Notamacropus eugenii: one gene and its partner. The protein of the gene in region 1 binds, or shares a complex with, the protein of each later gene. Links are inferred from orthologs where the notes say so. Each region holds a gene or a part of one and is shown on either strand. Other genes may lie near its edges.

What was found.
Region 2: the proteins of ZDHHC9 (region 1) and GOLGA7 are in contact, whole or in part, in a cryo-EM structure (PDB 8HF3), measured with the Homo sapiens proteins. The link is inferred for Notamacropus eugenii from reciprocal best matches to the Homo sapiens genes ZDHHC9 and GOLGA7. Residues at the interface, in NP_001008223.1 of Homo sapiens: Phe78, Ala81, Arg85, Ile94, Pro95, Leu98, Asp100, Glu101, Phe104, Ile105, Phe129, Gln130, Ile131, Asn132, Ile146, Pro149, Pro150, Arg182, Tyr183, Leu186, Tyr274, Lys281, Cys284, Glu285, Leu287, Cys288, Gly289, Pro290, Leu291, Pro292; in NP_001002296.1 of Homo sapiens: Lys11, Phe13, Gln15, Tyr18, Ser19, Ser20, Gly21, Thr22, Ala57, Glu58, Leu60, Ser64, Tyr65, Gly68, Cys72, Ala75, Tyr76, Thr77, Phe79, Leu80, Tyr86, Glu87, Leu90, Ile116, Arg118, Gly119, Arg121, Val122.

What each region holds. Positions count from the first base shown.
Region 1 is NC_092879.1:51,564,951-51,571,834, forward strand, and holds the start of ZDHHC9 (palmitoyltransferase ZDHHC9), read right to left. Parts: upstream 3,019-6,884; 5' UTR 2,807-3,018; intron 784-2,806; 5' UTR 639-783; coding exon 472-638; intron 1-471. UniProt on the Homo sapiens protein: Palmitoyltransferase that catalyzes the addition of palmitate onto various protein substrates, such as ADRB2, GSDMD, HRAS, NRAS and CGAS. The ZDHHC9-GOLGA7 complex is a palmitoyltransferase specific for HRAS and NRAS.
Region 2 is NC_092872.1:619,250,508-619,257,599, forward strand, and holds the start of GOLGA7 (golgin subfamily A member 7), read right to left. Parts: upstream 3,010-7,092; 5' UTR 2,854-3,009; intron 2,617-2,853; 5' UTR 2,586-2,616; coding exon 2,475-2,585; intron 1-2,474. UniProt on the Homo sapiens protein: May be involved in protein transport from Golgi to cell surface. The ZDHHC9-GOLGA7 complex is a palmitoyltransferase specific for HRAS and NRAS.

The sequences.
Region 1 (6,884 bases):
TCTTTTTGGGGGGGAGGGGTTGGTCTTTTGTGAGGAGGGAAGGGGCAGAGAGAAAGGACCAAGCAGGAAAGAAGAGCTAGAACTTGGGGTGGGGGTGGGGAGGATAAAACATGAGGAAAAGAGACATCTGGGAAAGGGACCAAAGGACAAGGAATGAGTTGCTGAACAAAGAGTCACCCAAGTCAAATGATACATTTCACCTACGTGCTAGGGTGAACCCAGATCTAGTACTATGGGAGCTGGCACCAGACAGGCTTAGTTGCTCGATTGGGTTTTGTTTCTCACAAAAACAAGCAGTGGAAAACAAGATCCTTCCCTTCCCCCAACCCCTACCATGGTTCCAAGATCTATTCCAAGGGCCAAAGAACACAGTTCCTACAATGAAGACCCCAGAAAAAGTGTTTTTTCCCTGCCCCAATGTTGCACTGTTACCAACTGGAATTAGGCAAGTCTGCCCTGAGGGGAACTCACTCAAAAGCAAAGAAGAGGGTGCAAGTCCCCAGGATGAGGAAGAGAGTCAAGTAGAAGATCCCCTTCTGCCGGGCCATCATGACACGTCCATCGCAGCAGAAGGTGTTCCTGCCTGGGAGCTTCTCCCACTTTCGAGTCACCTTCTTCCTCACCACCATCACAGACATGGCTGCAATACACCTCCTAAGCTTGCCTTCAGTCACAGGAGAAATGTGATTTGACTCAAGTCCAGGCTCAGAACCACAACTCTGGTGGCACTGGTGGCTGCTGCTTCTGTTGAGCCAAACATCATCAAAAATCTGACTTTCAACCCTAAGAAAAAGTGAAAAATGAAAACAAAAATGAGATAATCCCAATGCCCTTTCCCCAAAAGGCAGTACTAATAAGTGAGGGGGACGGACATAATGGTTTGCCCCTAATCTGTATCTGCCAAAAGATAGCAGGACAGTTTCAGGTGATTTGAACAGTGCCTTACAGCATGGAATCTGTAGCAAGAGCCCTGGCTTTGGAGTCAAAGGGTTCTGAGCCCAAATTTAACATCAACTTCTCTGAGTATCGGTTTCTTCATGTTCAGAATGAACATGAGGATGATACTTCTGCTAACTACCCCACAGATCTATTGCTGGGCTCAGTGGAGAATACATGTGAAAGCACTTCGGAAAATCTTTCTTAAAATGAGTTGTTATCCTTCTGTCTTCTACCTCTGTCCCCAATTACTGATGATCATAAGGAATCATAGCTTCATTTTACAGATGACAAAACTGAGGCCTGGAGGTTAAATGACTTGGCCAGATCACACAAGAAATTGGTTGTAAAGTGAGCACTAGGCACTGGGTTTCCCCGTTCCCAGGTGTTTGCTCTTTCCACCCAATCTTGTTATTTTCGAACCATCTATACAAAGCCTGGGAGAAAATACTAGAGAGTTTGTCCTTCAAGGGACCAAGATCCTGTTCTTTCACCTTCTTTCTATTTACTACACAAACATGACTCACTTGAGGGGATAAGTCACTCTCTGGCATGGATAGGAATTTCTGGACACGGCCACATGATGCATACACAATGTATTTGCACAAACCAGATTTGCCCTAACCAAACATTGTCTAAGCTCCCTCTGGGTCCCAGAAACTGAGAGTCTTGATGGTTCTTATGGGATCTGAATGAAACCACGTTCCTGAAGAAGGACCTCTAGGTAGAGGGCACTGACTCACTAAGGTGGGAGAGAGAGGGTGGGGGAGGGCTTGGAGGTAGGAAGGAGCAAAGATGGCAGCAGCAGCAGCAGCAGCAGCTGCTACGAAATGGGCAAGGTGCTATGTGGGACAGTCGGGAGTGGCCCATCTCGATTCCCTGGGGCCTAAGCGCGCTCCCGAGCCGAACCTCCCCCCCTCCAACATCACCACCCTCTCCTCCCGGCCCACCCTCGGCAGCCCAGCCCGCCCCTCGGAGGTACCGAGCATCGCAGCCGCCGCCGCCACCCCCGCCACATGCTGGGAAGAGGAGAGGGAGGGAGCCAGGGAAGGAGCCAGGGAGAGCGGGCGGCGGGCGGGAAGGCTGCCGAGGAGAAACAACCCACAGGAGGCCGCCGCCTCCGCTGCCGCCGCCGCGGGGCTGGCCCCGCTCCAGCAGGCGCTCACAGCTCCAGGCCATGGTCGAAGGGGCGATGCCCTAGGGTACAGGGGGGCAGCAAGGGGGAGACGGGCTGCGCTGTACCGGCGGGGAACAGGGACACCACGGGGAAGCAAGAGGCTGCCCAGTGGCGTCGAGCAGAACAAAGCTCCGAAGCCCGAGGAGAAGAAATGGACAGCGAGCGGCGGCCGCCCGCCCCGAGGCCCAGCCGCCTCCGGCGCGAGCGCCCTCCTCCCGCACCCCGCACCCCGCACCCCCACCCGCAAGAGCGCCCCCTCGAGTGAGAGACGAGGCGAGGAGGGGACGCCCCCCAAACTGCGCGCGCGCACACCACTGAGCCCGCGTAGCCCCCCACCCGCCCCTCCTGCCAGCCGGCTGGCGCGCGGACACACACACGCGCGCGCACACATATACATGCACATACATACACACGCACATATACACACACATACACACACATAACCCGTGCGCCCCGGGAAGCCCCACCACGTGCCGCCACGGCCACGGCCACAGTCACAGCCACAGCCCCCCAGCGGGTCAGGTCCCGGGCTCCGCGGAGCCGCTGCCGAGCATCCGGGACAGGCTGTCCCCAAGCCGGCCAGCCGACCGACCGGCCAGCCCGCTCAGAGTGGGGGGGGAGGGAGGGAAGGAGGGAGCGGGAAGCATCGGTACCGCGGGAGCCAGCCACAGCCAAGCACGACCCCCTGCTTACCTGGCGACCGGGACTGCGGTGGGAAAGGTGGCGTTCTCCTCCGGGAGGGAGCGAACGATCTCAGCAGCAGGCAGGGGGATAGGTGGTGGCTCCTCCGCCCCGCCCCGAGCCCCGGGCTGCCGCCGCCTCCGCCTCCGCCTCCTCCTCCTCCGGGAGGGGGCCGGGGGGGAGGGGGGGGATGGACCTTTGCCGTCGGGAGCCACGGCCAGCTGCGGCAGCAGTCCACCGCTGGAGGAATGGAAAGCTCCTCACGTCAGCCGGCAGCTCCAGCGGCTGCCCGCCTGCCATTGGCCGGCCCCCTCTGGGCGCCTACGCCCCCGCCCCCCTGCCCCGGATTCCTATTAGTTAATAGGCATGCCACTCGACGGCGCCTCCTCCTCCCTCCTCGCTCCCCCCGCCCCCTTCCCCCTCCCAGAGCCAGTTTGCCCTTCGGGTCCTAGTGCCAATGGGCGTGAAGTGCCACTTTGTCACCGAACCCACGCAGTGGGGGGCAGCTGGCGACGGGCAGGATGGGACTGGGACCACCAACGGTACCGAAGCACCTTAGAGAGCAGTGAATGGAACACTGAACGACCGCTGCCCCCACCAATCAGGCCTCTACTCCTCCCCACTCCTCCCTGCTCCTAGGCCTCCTCCTTGTTTTGAAAATGATACCCAGGAATTTCACTTTCCAAAACACAAGAAAATCATCTCAATTCCTTTCTCAAGCTAAGCTCTCTCAACCTTGAGAAGCACCATAGTATTGCAGGAAATAGCTATGGATTTTAAGTTAGAGGTCCCAGTTTGAATGTCCATCCGTCTTACGTACTAGCTGTATGACACTAGACAAGTCACACCCTGAAATTTCTTTATCTGAAAAATGGAGGGAATTGGAAAGCATCGTGGTGCAGAGGAAAGAGCAACAGATTTACAAGCAGAGACCTCTAATCAATCCCAGTTCTTCCAATTACTACCAGTGTGACCTTGACCAAGTCACTTGCCCAGTTTCTTCATCTTTAACAAAAATAGATTGGACAGGATGACCTCAAAAATCCCTGCCAGTTCTACTTCTATGATCCTGTGACTAACTGGACTAGATGACCTTTCAGAGGTCCCTTTCAGAGCTAAATTCTATGACTTCCCATGTCCTGTTCAAAAGATCCTACACTCTGCTTCCCATTCTCCAACCTGCCCTCCCCCTCCCCATGTATATCTAAAGCTTTCCAAAAGGAGCAAGATAAGCTACTGGAAAAAAGAGTTCGCAGGCCAGTAAGTGCATGATCACCACTGCCAAAGCTAAGGCTCCTAGCTGTTTTTTTCTGGGGGTGTTAGCTTAATTGCAGGTAATCAAAATCCAAGTAAGCCAGAAAGATTTTCAGCCCATGCTCAAAAGCACCATGCCTTCTGCCACTTGTATAGAGCACTGAACATCAAAGTAAATCCACCAAAGGAGAGGGAATGGGACAGTGTAAAAGCAGGCTCTTTGGGAGCTATGAAGGGACTAGAACATCTGTGCTACCAACCTGGGGGAAGGGGGTCGTAAAAAGAGTTCCACTGATTTGAATGTAGTGTACTGTGTTCCATATAATACATCCTGGCAGATGTCTAACATACTGACCATGGACAGTTACTTCCGTTTGGTGTCCTCCCCTTATCCCAATGTAATCCCCATGAAGCGGGAGGGGCACAGATCTGAGCACTTCATAAATGTTGTGTTAAGGAAGTCTACAGTGTTGCTTTCGAGATTACATATAAGTTCAAGAATTATTCATTAATAGAATTTGAAGGAAACTTAGAAACCATCGAGTCCAATGCCCCAGTTTTACTGTAGAGGAAACTGAGGCTGAAAGAAGTGTCTTGTCTAAGTCAAACCAGTAGCAAGTGACAGGACCGTTAATTGAACCCATGTCTCTCTGACTTCTTCTGACTCCAAGTCCAGAGCTCTTACTACTGAACCACACTGCCTATTTCTTCTTGATAGTATTTTCTATACATCCCCCATCTGGGATGACAAAGAGCCATATAATGATAAGTATATCTGGTTCCTTCATGAAAGCTTTCATTCAAGAATTTCCAAAAGACAAAGAACTTACTAAATAGTTCTGCCTTCTGGGAGAGGATGGACAGAACTGTATTACTGAAGGAGGAGCTCAGCATTTATGAAGCAGAGTTTCCTGAGTTGTTCCCCAAGCCAGGAAAGTTTTCAACCTTCATCCCTGCTTCCTAGGCTCTCTGACTTCCTTCAGGTCTCAGCCAAAGTCCCACCTTCTGCCAGAAGCCTTTCCTAGCCCTCCTGAAGCTTAATGCCCTCCCGTTGAGATCACCCCAATTTCTCCTATTTCCTCTTTGCATAGAGTTGTTTTCATGTTGTCTCTCACATCAGATTGTGAGCTCCTTGAGACCAGGGACCATTTGTTTTGGGGTTTTTTTTGCCTTTCCTCATTGTTTCCAACACTTAGCTCAGTGCCTGATGTGTGGTAGGTCTTTAATAAATGCTAGATGACTAACTGACCAATATCTGATGCCTCATGGAACTCCTACAGATTATAATCATTTGTTTATTCCTTACAACACTCTGTGACCAGTGTTATTTCAGGGTGCAATTCTCACTTTCTAGTAGAGGGTACTACCTACACAACCTCTTAAGACTGGAGGGAAGAACAAATTCCCTCAGGCCCCACCCCAATGTTCTCCAAGGCAATTCTACCCAGAAACCTTGGGTAAAGACCCAGCTTTCCTTACTATATGCCTAAGCATAGGTCCTTCCCAACATCTGGAATGCCTTCTTCCTTTCCTCCCCCCCCCATGAATTCCCTCCAAGTTTCTAGAGTCCAGCTTCCTTTATGAAGCTTTCCCTAATCCCCCTGTACTATGGACCTTCTCCTTCAGACCTTCCACAACACTTTGTGACTTTCTTTCCACTTAACAATTATTATTGTGGATTATAGTTATTTGCATTTCAAGAATTGCCAAAATTGAATAAAAGAAGATAAGGCTGCATCTCCTTTGGGAAACTATGTAACACTTTCAAAAATCCCAAGCCCCTCTCTAATTCAAAAGTCAGTGGTTTTTAGCACAAATAGTTCTCCAGTGATGCCAGATGGCTCATTCACAAAATATCCTAATCCCAGAAGAATTGAAATTGCAGGTGATGCCAAAAGACAATGGAAAGATGCATGGTGAGTGTCATAGCATAGTACAGAGAATGGTCTACACTTGAGAAGTTGCATAAAATAAATTATCTATACTGAAGATGAGGTAAGCAATTAAACCCAGTAAACCTGGGTTCCATAAAACCAAGAACACAAACTACCCATGACAGAATTATCTGAGCAGGATTTCGGGGAAACTGGGTGGTGCTGTCCTAGAGTCAAGACAAACCTCAGTTCAAATTTGGCTTCTAACACTTTACTAGGTGCGTAATTTGGGGCAAGTCACTTCTGTTTGTCCCAGATTTATAACTGTATAAGGGGAATCAGAAAGTATTTAGCACTAGTTATCATCATCATCATTATACTAGAAAAAAAGTTTTTCATAAAATATTTCTAACAACATGATATCCAAAATACATAGTGAACTCACACAAATATAAAAGACCAAGAATCATTCCCCAACAGATGAGATCAAAAAATATGAACATTTTTCAAATGAAGGCATGCTATCAACAACCATATTAAAAATGTTCCAAATCACCAATAATAAAAGATATACAAAATAAAACAGCTTTGAGATTTCACCTCATGCAAATCAAATTGGCAAAATGACTAAAGTAGCCATTGTTGGAGGGACTATAGGAAGATCCAAAGCATGAATACACTGTTGATGGAGTGATGTAATTGGTCTTACTCTTGGGGAAAATCATTCGGACTTGAGAAAAGCTGATCCCCTTTGATCTTTTGGTCTCACTATTGGACATAACTCCCCAAGAAGGTCAAAGACATCCACTTAGTATATAGGTCCCCATATACCAAAATATTCATAGTAGAGTTTGTGATAGCAAAAACTCTGAAAACAAAATTACTACCCATTAACTGAGAAAGACTTGACCAAACTGTAGTTTGTGAATATAACGTTGTAATGAGGGGAAAAACATTCAACT
Region 2 (7,092 bases), on another chromosome or scaffold:
TTACAAGCTGTTACAGTAGTCTTGGTGAGTGGCAATGAGGGGGCACTGAAATGGAAAAGAAATGATGGTGTAAAAGACTTTTTCTAAGAAGAGAATGATCTTATGAACTGAGTGATATGGGGAAAGAGTAGAGTTATTGAAATCAAAGCTAAAACCAAAAACAAAAATCCAGCCATAGCAAAATATCATCAGGAAACAGCTGTCCTCTATGATAAAATACTGGCCAAGCTGAAATAATGTTGATCAACTGGCAACCTTCAGTGAGGCAGATGGAAGACTAAATGCTATCTCTAAGCCCATCTTGAGCCCAGATGAAAGGGAGCCCTGAATGAGGTCACTGACATAATTACAGGATCATAGCTTAAAAGGAACTTTGAGGTCATTTAGTCTAATCCCCCCCCCCCAAGTGAAGTGACTTGTTAAAAGGGCATAGGGGCAGAGAAAAAGCTAAATTTGAATCCAGATCCTCTGTTCCCAAATTCAGTATTTTCCTGTCTGCTAAGATATTTTCCAACTAGGAAACTGAAGAGAAAGTTTTGTGGGAAACATGATGAATTTAGCTTTGGGCATGCTAAGTTAGAAATGCTAGCAGAAAATCCAGATGCAGATGTCAGCCAGAAAGGAGATCGAGGGGGTTTGTACCATGGGAGAAAAGTCAAGAATTGGATCTAGTCTGGGGAGTCATCTGTAGACAAGTGGACAAGCCATGAGAGACACAGCAAGGAAAGGGAACAGAGCAGTCAGGGGCAGAGTCTTGGGCAACGGAGGAAGAGAACCTCAAGGAGTCGAAGGCTCAGTGAGAGGTAAGAGAACCACAAGAGTGCAGGGTCTCAGAAGCCAAGCAGGAGAGGATTTTAGGGAGAGTATAATAAAGGCTGCAAAGAAGCCAAAGACAACGAAGACAGAGGAAAGGCCACTGTGCACTTATAAAGACAATGATGACCTCAGAAAGGGCAGCTTCAAGCCATGTTTTGGGGGCAGTGGGGATGTAAATCAGATTGCTAAATTTCTAATTCTATTCTGTAGGAGATTTTGAAAGATAATTTCACCTAATTCATATGGATTTTACCATTTAAAATGCTACGCTACTTTGTAAAACTTGCTGTAACAATAGCCAACTCTTTATCTTACTTAATGCCTCTCCAAAAAGCCAACAGAACTGATTTCAAGGCAGGTGCTTTGGAAAAGGCTATGGTAGAAAGGCCAACCAGTTATGCCTAGCTGAGGCACTCTTTATTTCACTGATGACTGATATTTTGCTGACTCACAGTTTCAGGATTAATAACAAAACTCAATATCTATTTGGCATTTCACAAACAACGGATTAATCCATAAAACATCTCTATAAAGTGGTTTGATTTTCATTTTCAAGATGAGAAAACTGAGATGCAGAGCACCGATCTGCCTCAGGCTTTAAAGGAAAGGGAGGGAAGGACCAATCTTATAGTAAGGTACTGAAGATTTCTACTCCTATTCTGAATGCCTTGCCTATAGAGCAACCCAACTGAGTCCAAGATGGTTTTATGTCACTATTAAAGGAAATTTCTCAAGTACACACTCATCTACACCTACAGATTCCAAGATCAACATTCTTTAGCCCCACACCCACCACCTACCTAAGCACCTCAGAGTAAACTGTCAACAACAGAAAAACAAGCAACTAAACCAGATCCCATCTAACCACTAACTAACTGACCTCAGTATAGGAAACAGTTTGTGTATGCACACACACACACAAATAATATTCTCTTAATAAATCACACTTAGTCCGTGGCTTACGTATAGTATCTACAATTTTATACCACGTATAATCTTTATGCTATGTGTAATAGCAGTATTTACATACAGTATGTCTATACTATATATACAGCACAGTGTATATGCAGAATATGTATGTATTATAAATATTATTCATAAGTACTACTAGAGCAGTATTTACACAGAAGCCATTAACTAAATATTGTTTATTGATGGACTATTATATCTGTATACACACACTAGATACAGTATATATTACACATAAATACTACCAATCGTACATACACATGCATACATACATACATACACTACTCCGTATATCTGGAAAAAGGGGGAAAATATTTCAGTGTTTCACTTCCATAATGCATTAAAAAAAGCCTGCCCCTGGGTGGCAGGTGGGTTACACAGGTAGCAGCACACGGGCATTCATTTCCTGGCCACTCAAACAGGGCGGTGGGATGCCAGGCTCGCTCCCGAGTTAGCAAAGGGCCCAGGACCACTGACAACGAGCGTGGAGCTTCCTTCCCCCGGCCCCCAAAGCCGCCCGCTGCTGCTGCTGCTGGGCCAGCCTGCTCTCCGCCAGCACCCCTCCTCCGGACCCTGCCTCGATTTCCCCATCTGCCGGTCCCAGAGAAGAGCCACGGCGCACCCTCCCCCCTCCCGGCCACAGGAAGGAAGCTGTCAGGGGCCGGCGCGGGTCCCTCGGGGCTCCGTACCCGGTTCTCCAACTCGGCGGGGAACTTGGTCTGGAACTGGCACCGGGTGCCGCTGCTGTAGTCCCGCTGGATGAAGACCTTGCCGGACACGGGCGCCTGCTGCGGCCTCATGGCGGGCTGGGCCGGGCCGGGCCGCGCAGCGCTGCGGGGGACACGACAACACGGTTCCGCTCAAGACCCCGGCGCCGGCCGCGCCCGGAGAGGCCGGGCCCGGGAGCCGGCCCGTGACAGCGGCCCCGGAGCACCCGCCAGCCCCATGCTCCCCGGGCCCGCCGCCCCGCGCGCTGCCCCCCGCACCCCCCGGGCCCGCGCCCCGACCACCCCCAGCCCGGCCCAGCCCACCCTCGCCACCCCCCTCCCCGGCCTGGGAAACACCGACCCGCCTTCTCCGTGGCCCTCCAGCGGCTGTCGCGCGGCCTCGTCCCTCACTTACGGCCTGCTGCAAACAAGCCTCCTGTCTCTCCTCCCCACCCTAAACCTTCCCCCCTCCCTGACCTCTCCTACCCCACCCACTCCGGCCTGCCGTAAAGTGAAACGGCCGCGATAGTGCGCAAAGAGGCTGGGCGGTACTTTCCGCCAATGGCCCCGCCCCGGACTCGGGCGCGGTCTGCGGAGAGGGGAGAGGTGGGGAGGGATGCGGAGGGGGAGGGGCTGAGCCCGGGGCGGGAGGGACTGGCATGTGGGGCACCGCCTCGTGCTTTCCCTCCTCTTCGCGGCTTCGGGCCTCGTGGCGGGAGCGCAGGATCAGGGGAGCGAAGCTCCGAGTCCGGTTCTGCCTTGTTTACCGCCGGGTACACCCATTAGAGCGGAAGCTCCCTGAAGGAAGGGACGGTTTTCCCTTAGCAGCGTGGCTGGCACCTGGGGCGCTTAATAAATGTTTATTGAGTTGGAAATGTGACCCAGCGACTCCGGGTCTTGCTTTCCTTGTCAGTAAAACCGGAGGGTTTACCCAGATGATTCCTTTGGGTCTATTTTTTAAAATTACATTACACTTTATTTTCAAATAAAGACACCTTTCTCTCCTTCCCTTTCATGCGATGCCTTCCACCCCTAACACCGAGAAAGCAAGGAATACAAAACCCGGGTCCCGAGGACGGACAGTCCTGCGCAGCTCAGCTGCCCCTTCCCAGGGCCGTCCCAGCCCCCGAGTCCCTCTGTCAGCGTGACCTGCCGGTCAGGGAGGATTCACTGGGTCCGGGCCCCGCACCAGGCGCTCCGCAGCGGCGCTGACGCTGGACAGCACCCGCAGAGCGGCACCCCCAGAGCGGCAGCCGCAGAGCGGCACCCCCACAGCGGCACCCCCACAGCGGCACCCCCACAGCGGCACCCCCAGAGCGGCACCCCCAGAGCGGCACCCGCAGAGCGGCACCCCCAGAGCGGCACCCCCAGAGCGGCACCCCCAGAGCGGCAGCCGCAGAGCGGCACCCCCACAGCGGCACCCCCACAGCGGCACCCCCACAGCGGCACCCCCAGAGCGGCACCCCCAGAGCGGCACCCGCAGAGCGGCACCCCCAGAGCGGCACCCCCAGAGCGGCACCCGCAGAGCGGCAGCCGCAGAGCGGCACCCCCAGAGCGGCACCCCCAGAGCGGCAGCCGCAGCCCCCGCCAGTCGGAGGTGACCGCGGAGGAGAGGGGCTGGCGGAGGGAGGAGCGGCAGCCCCTCGTGGGGGAGACCGGGGCGAGAGCCTTCCGCCGGGGATTCCAACGTCCTGGCGTTGGAAGGCTCTGGGCGCTCAATGAAACAGCAGCTCCAGGGCTCCGTGGACTTGTTCTGAGGGGACTGCACTTATAGCTTAGTGATGGCACAGACACCCCCAGCCCCACCTCCAGCATCAAGGACACGCGCTGTAACAAGATGGGGAAAGGGTCATCCAATGAACGCCTTGCCAAGTTGAATGTTTCTTAAAAAACAAACTCTGCGAGACAAGTTCAGTTTCTTACGTAATCTTGTTCTTTGTATATCAAAACCCTTGAGTTTGTTGATGATTGTTAAATAGATAATAGGAAATGGCCTGGACCTCTCTTTCATTGGTGTGGGGAACTCCCAGAGCATGAAAACATTCTCCACCAGTTCAGGTCAACACTATTTTTGTTTTCTGGCAATATATATGCTTAGAATATCGCCTAGAGCAGAGGGGTGAAATCCTAGGGCCGGCTGGCCCCGCTGGGCCAGGATACTTGTTGAGCCAGATTAAAATGGCATTGGGAAATCCTTCAAATGAAATACAATAAAACATAGTATGAGTATGTGGTTAATGGGCAAGGTGCAGGGATCCAGATGTAAGGTTTAGGGGTCCCACTTCCATCTGAGCTTGATGCCATAGACCTAGGGCTCTGAGAGTTGAGACCTGTTCTAAATCACGTGGCCAGTATTGATCTTAGGAAGGACTTGATCCCAGGACTTCCTAACTCCAAGGATGACTTTCTAGCTATTGTATCACACTAACTCTTGAAGTTCGTCATTAATAAAAAAAAGAAAACCACCAATAAGTAGAGCATTTGGTTCTAAACAAAACTTAAAATGAAAATTTAAAAATAGCAGATCATGCCTCTTGGGAACATTCTGATCGCACCTCGCATACCACTTTGTTCTGCACCTCTATAATATACTTAGTATGTAATAAGGCATTTCTTAGCCATAACCTGCATCTTGAAACCCCAGATCTACCCCTGCATAGACAGGCATAATGGATAGAATGATGCATTTGGAGTCAGGAAGCCCTGGATTCAAATCCTATCTCAGATTCTTACTGTGTGACCCCTCAGGCAAATCTTTTAACTTCTCTGGACCTCCATTTCTCATCTATAAAATGTTGGGGTTGGACTAGGTGGTTTCTGAGGTCCCTTTCAGTTCTAGATATAAATCTAATCCTGTCACTGTGTGTATGTTGACTCTATGGTTCCTTTTGCTCCAATCCTGGGTTTCCTGGGAAGGTCAGAATCTGGCTCTTGTTAATAATAATAATAGTTAACATTTGTATAGTACTTCTTAGCTGTCCTAAGTACTCTTCAATTATTATCTCCTTTGATCCTCAGTACCACCCTGGGAGATAAGCACTATTATTATCTTTATTTTAGGCTTAAGAAGACAGAGGGATAATAAGATTAAGTGACTTGCCCAGGGTCCCACAGCTAGTAAGTATTTGAATTAGTTCTTCCTAATTCTAGGGCCCGCACCCTATCTACTTTACACCTAACTACCCCCAAACTACTTATTTTTTCTCTTTGGGTTCCTTTAGTCCCCTGCAATGAAAGCATTTAAAAATAGGACAGGCCTGTGAGAAGCAGAAGCCTAGTCAGCAAGGGAATAGTGGTAGCTCCGCAATATTAAATGACCAACTAGTCAAGTCCTTGCTTTGTGTACTACTATTACAAGTCTCGGACCCAGGCCCAGTCCATTCCAACTCACTTCTCCTCTCTGGGGACTGTGCTCCCTTGCTTTGGCATTTGCTGTTGATTAGCCCATTTCCCAACTGCTGTCCTACCTTCCCTTACCTGAGTTCCAAAGTAATCTTCTTTTCTATAGCTCCTGGCTTGGCCCAGGAACTCTCTGACATCCATCTATTTATTAGCTGCTGCCTTTACTTCTGCACCTGCTGCTTTCAATTTCTGTCCCCTCATGGCTGTCCAGCCCTGAAGTCTCTTCTCCCTCTTCTTCCATATGCTCTTTAGTTCTGTGGCAGAGGAAAGGATTATTCTGTTTTCAGAACTGTTTGTTACATTGTGTTGGTGTCTTATCCCTATGGATCTCTATGGAAGTTTCATGGGGACAGGATATTGTCTTATCTAAAGTTCTTATTTCCTTAGTAGTTAAAACAATTGTAAGTAGCTGGTATTTAATACATTTTTGTCTTATTGTATTTTCTATGTACCTTTAATACCTCTTTAGGTAGAGATGAAACCCTGGAACCCTCCAGTCATCACCCAAATACTACCCTCCAAATTCACCCTTATAGGACACATTCTCATACAAATATATACTTAGTCTATGGAAAGCCTATACAAGCAGGGTTGTGCTGGAACCAGACTAGTGAGAGCTGATTGTTAAAATTTCACTATAAGTACACCTGGAAAATCTGGAACACTACAAAGCAGGTTTACTTTATCATTTTGTTGACTGTTTCTAGACCTAAGAAAGTGATCAAAAAAATGTTGATAAACCAGATTAAACTTGAAAGTGTGCCATGCACACATTTCTGCCCCCCCCAGAGACAGTTATCAAATATTTACCAGCACATAACTGAATGTAGATGCTAAGCAGCACATTCTAGACTGACAGTTATTGTGTTATCAGTTTGTTGATAGATGAATTTATACTTGAGAATACTACATTTGATTGTTTGTTTCCAAGTTAATGATATGAATTTAAAGTGCAATAACAGTGATGCAAAAATGCCAAAGTCACTCACAACTCTGGAAATGCAGGCCATTGGGATCTTTTTAAGGCATTGTATCTTGACTGAATGGGTAAATACACTACTAGACTGTATTGCACTGTTAACTTGGCTGATAAAGTGGCTCCCCATCATTATCAGCTACTGCTGGGCTTAACCAGGAAGGTCATTTAGCAACTGCCAGACCAGGCTAAGTAGGTTGCTTGGACACTGATCAGTAACTC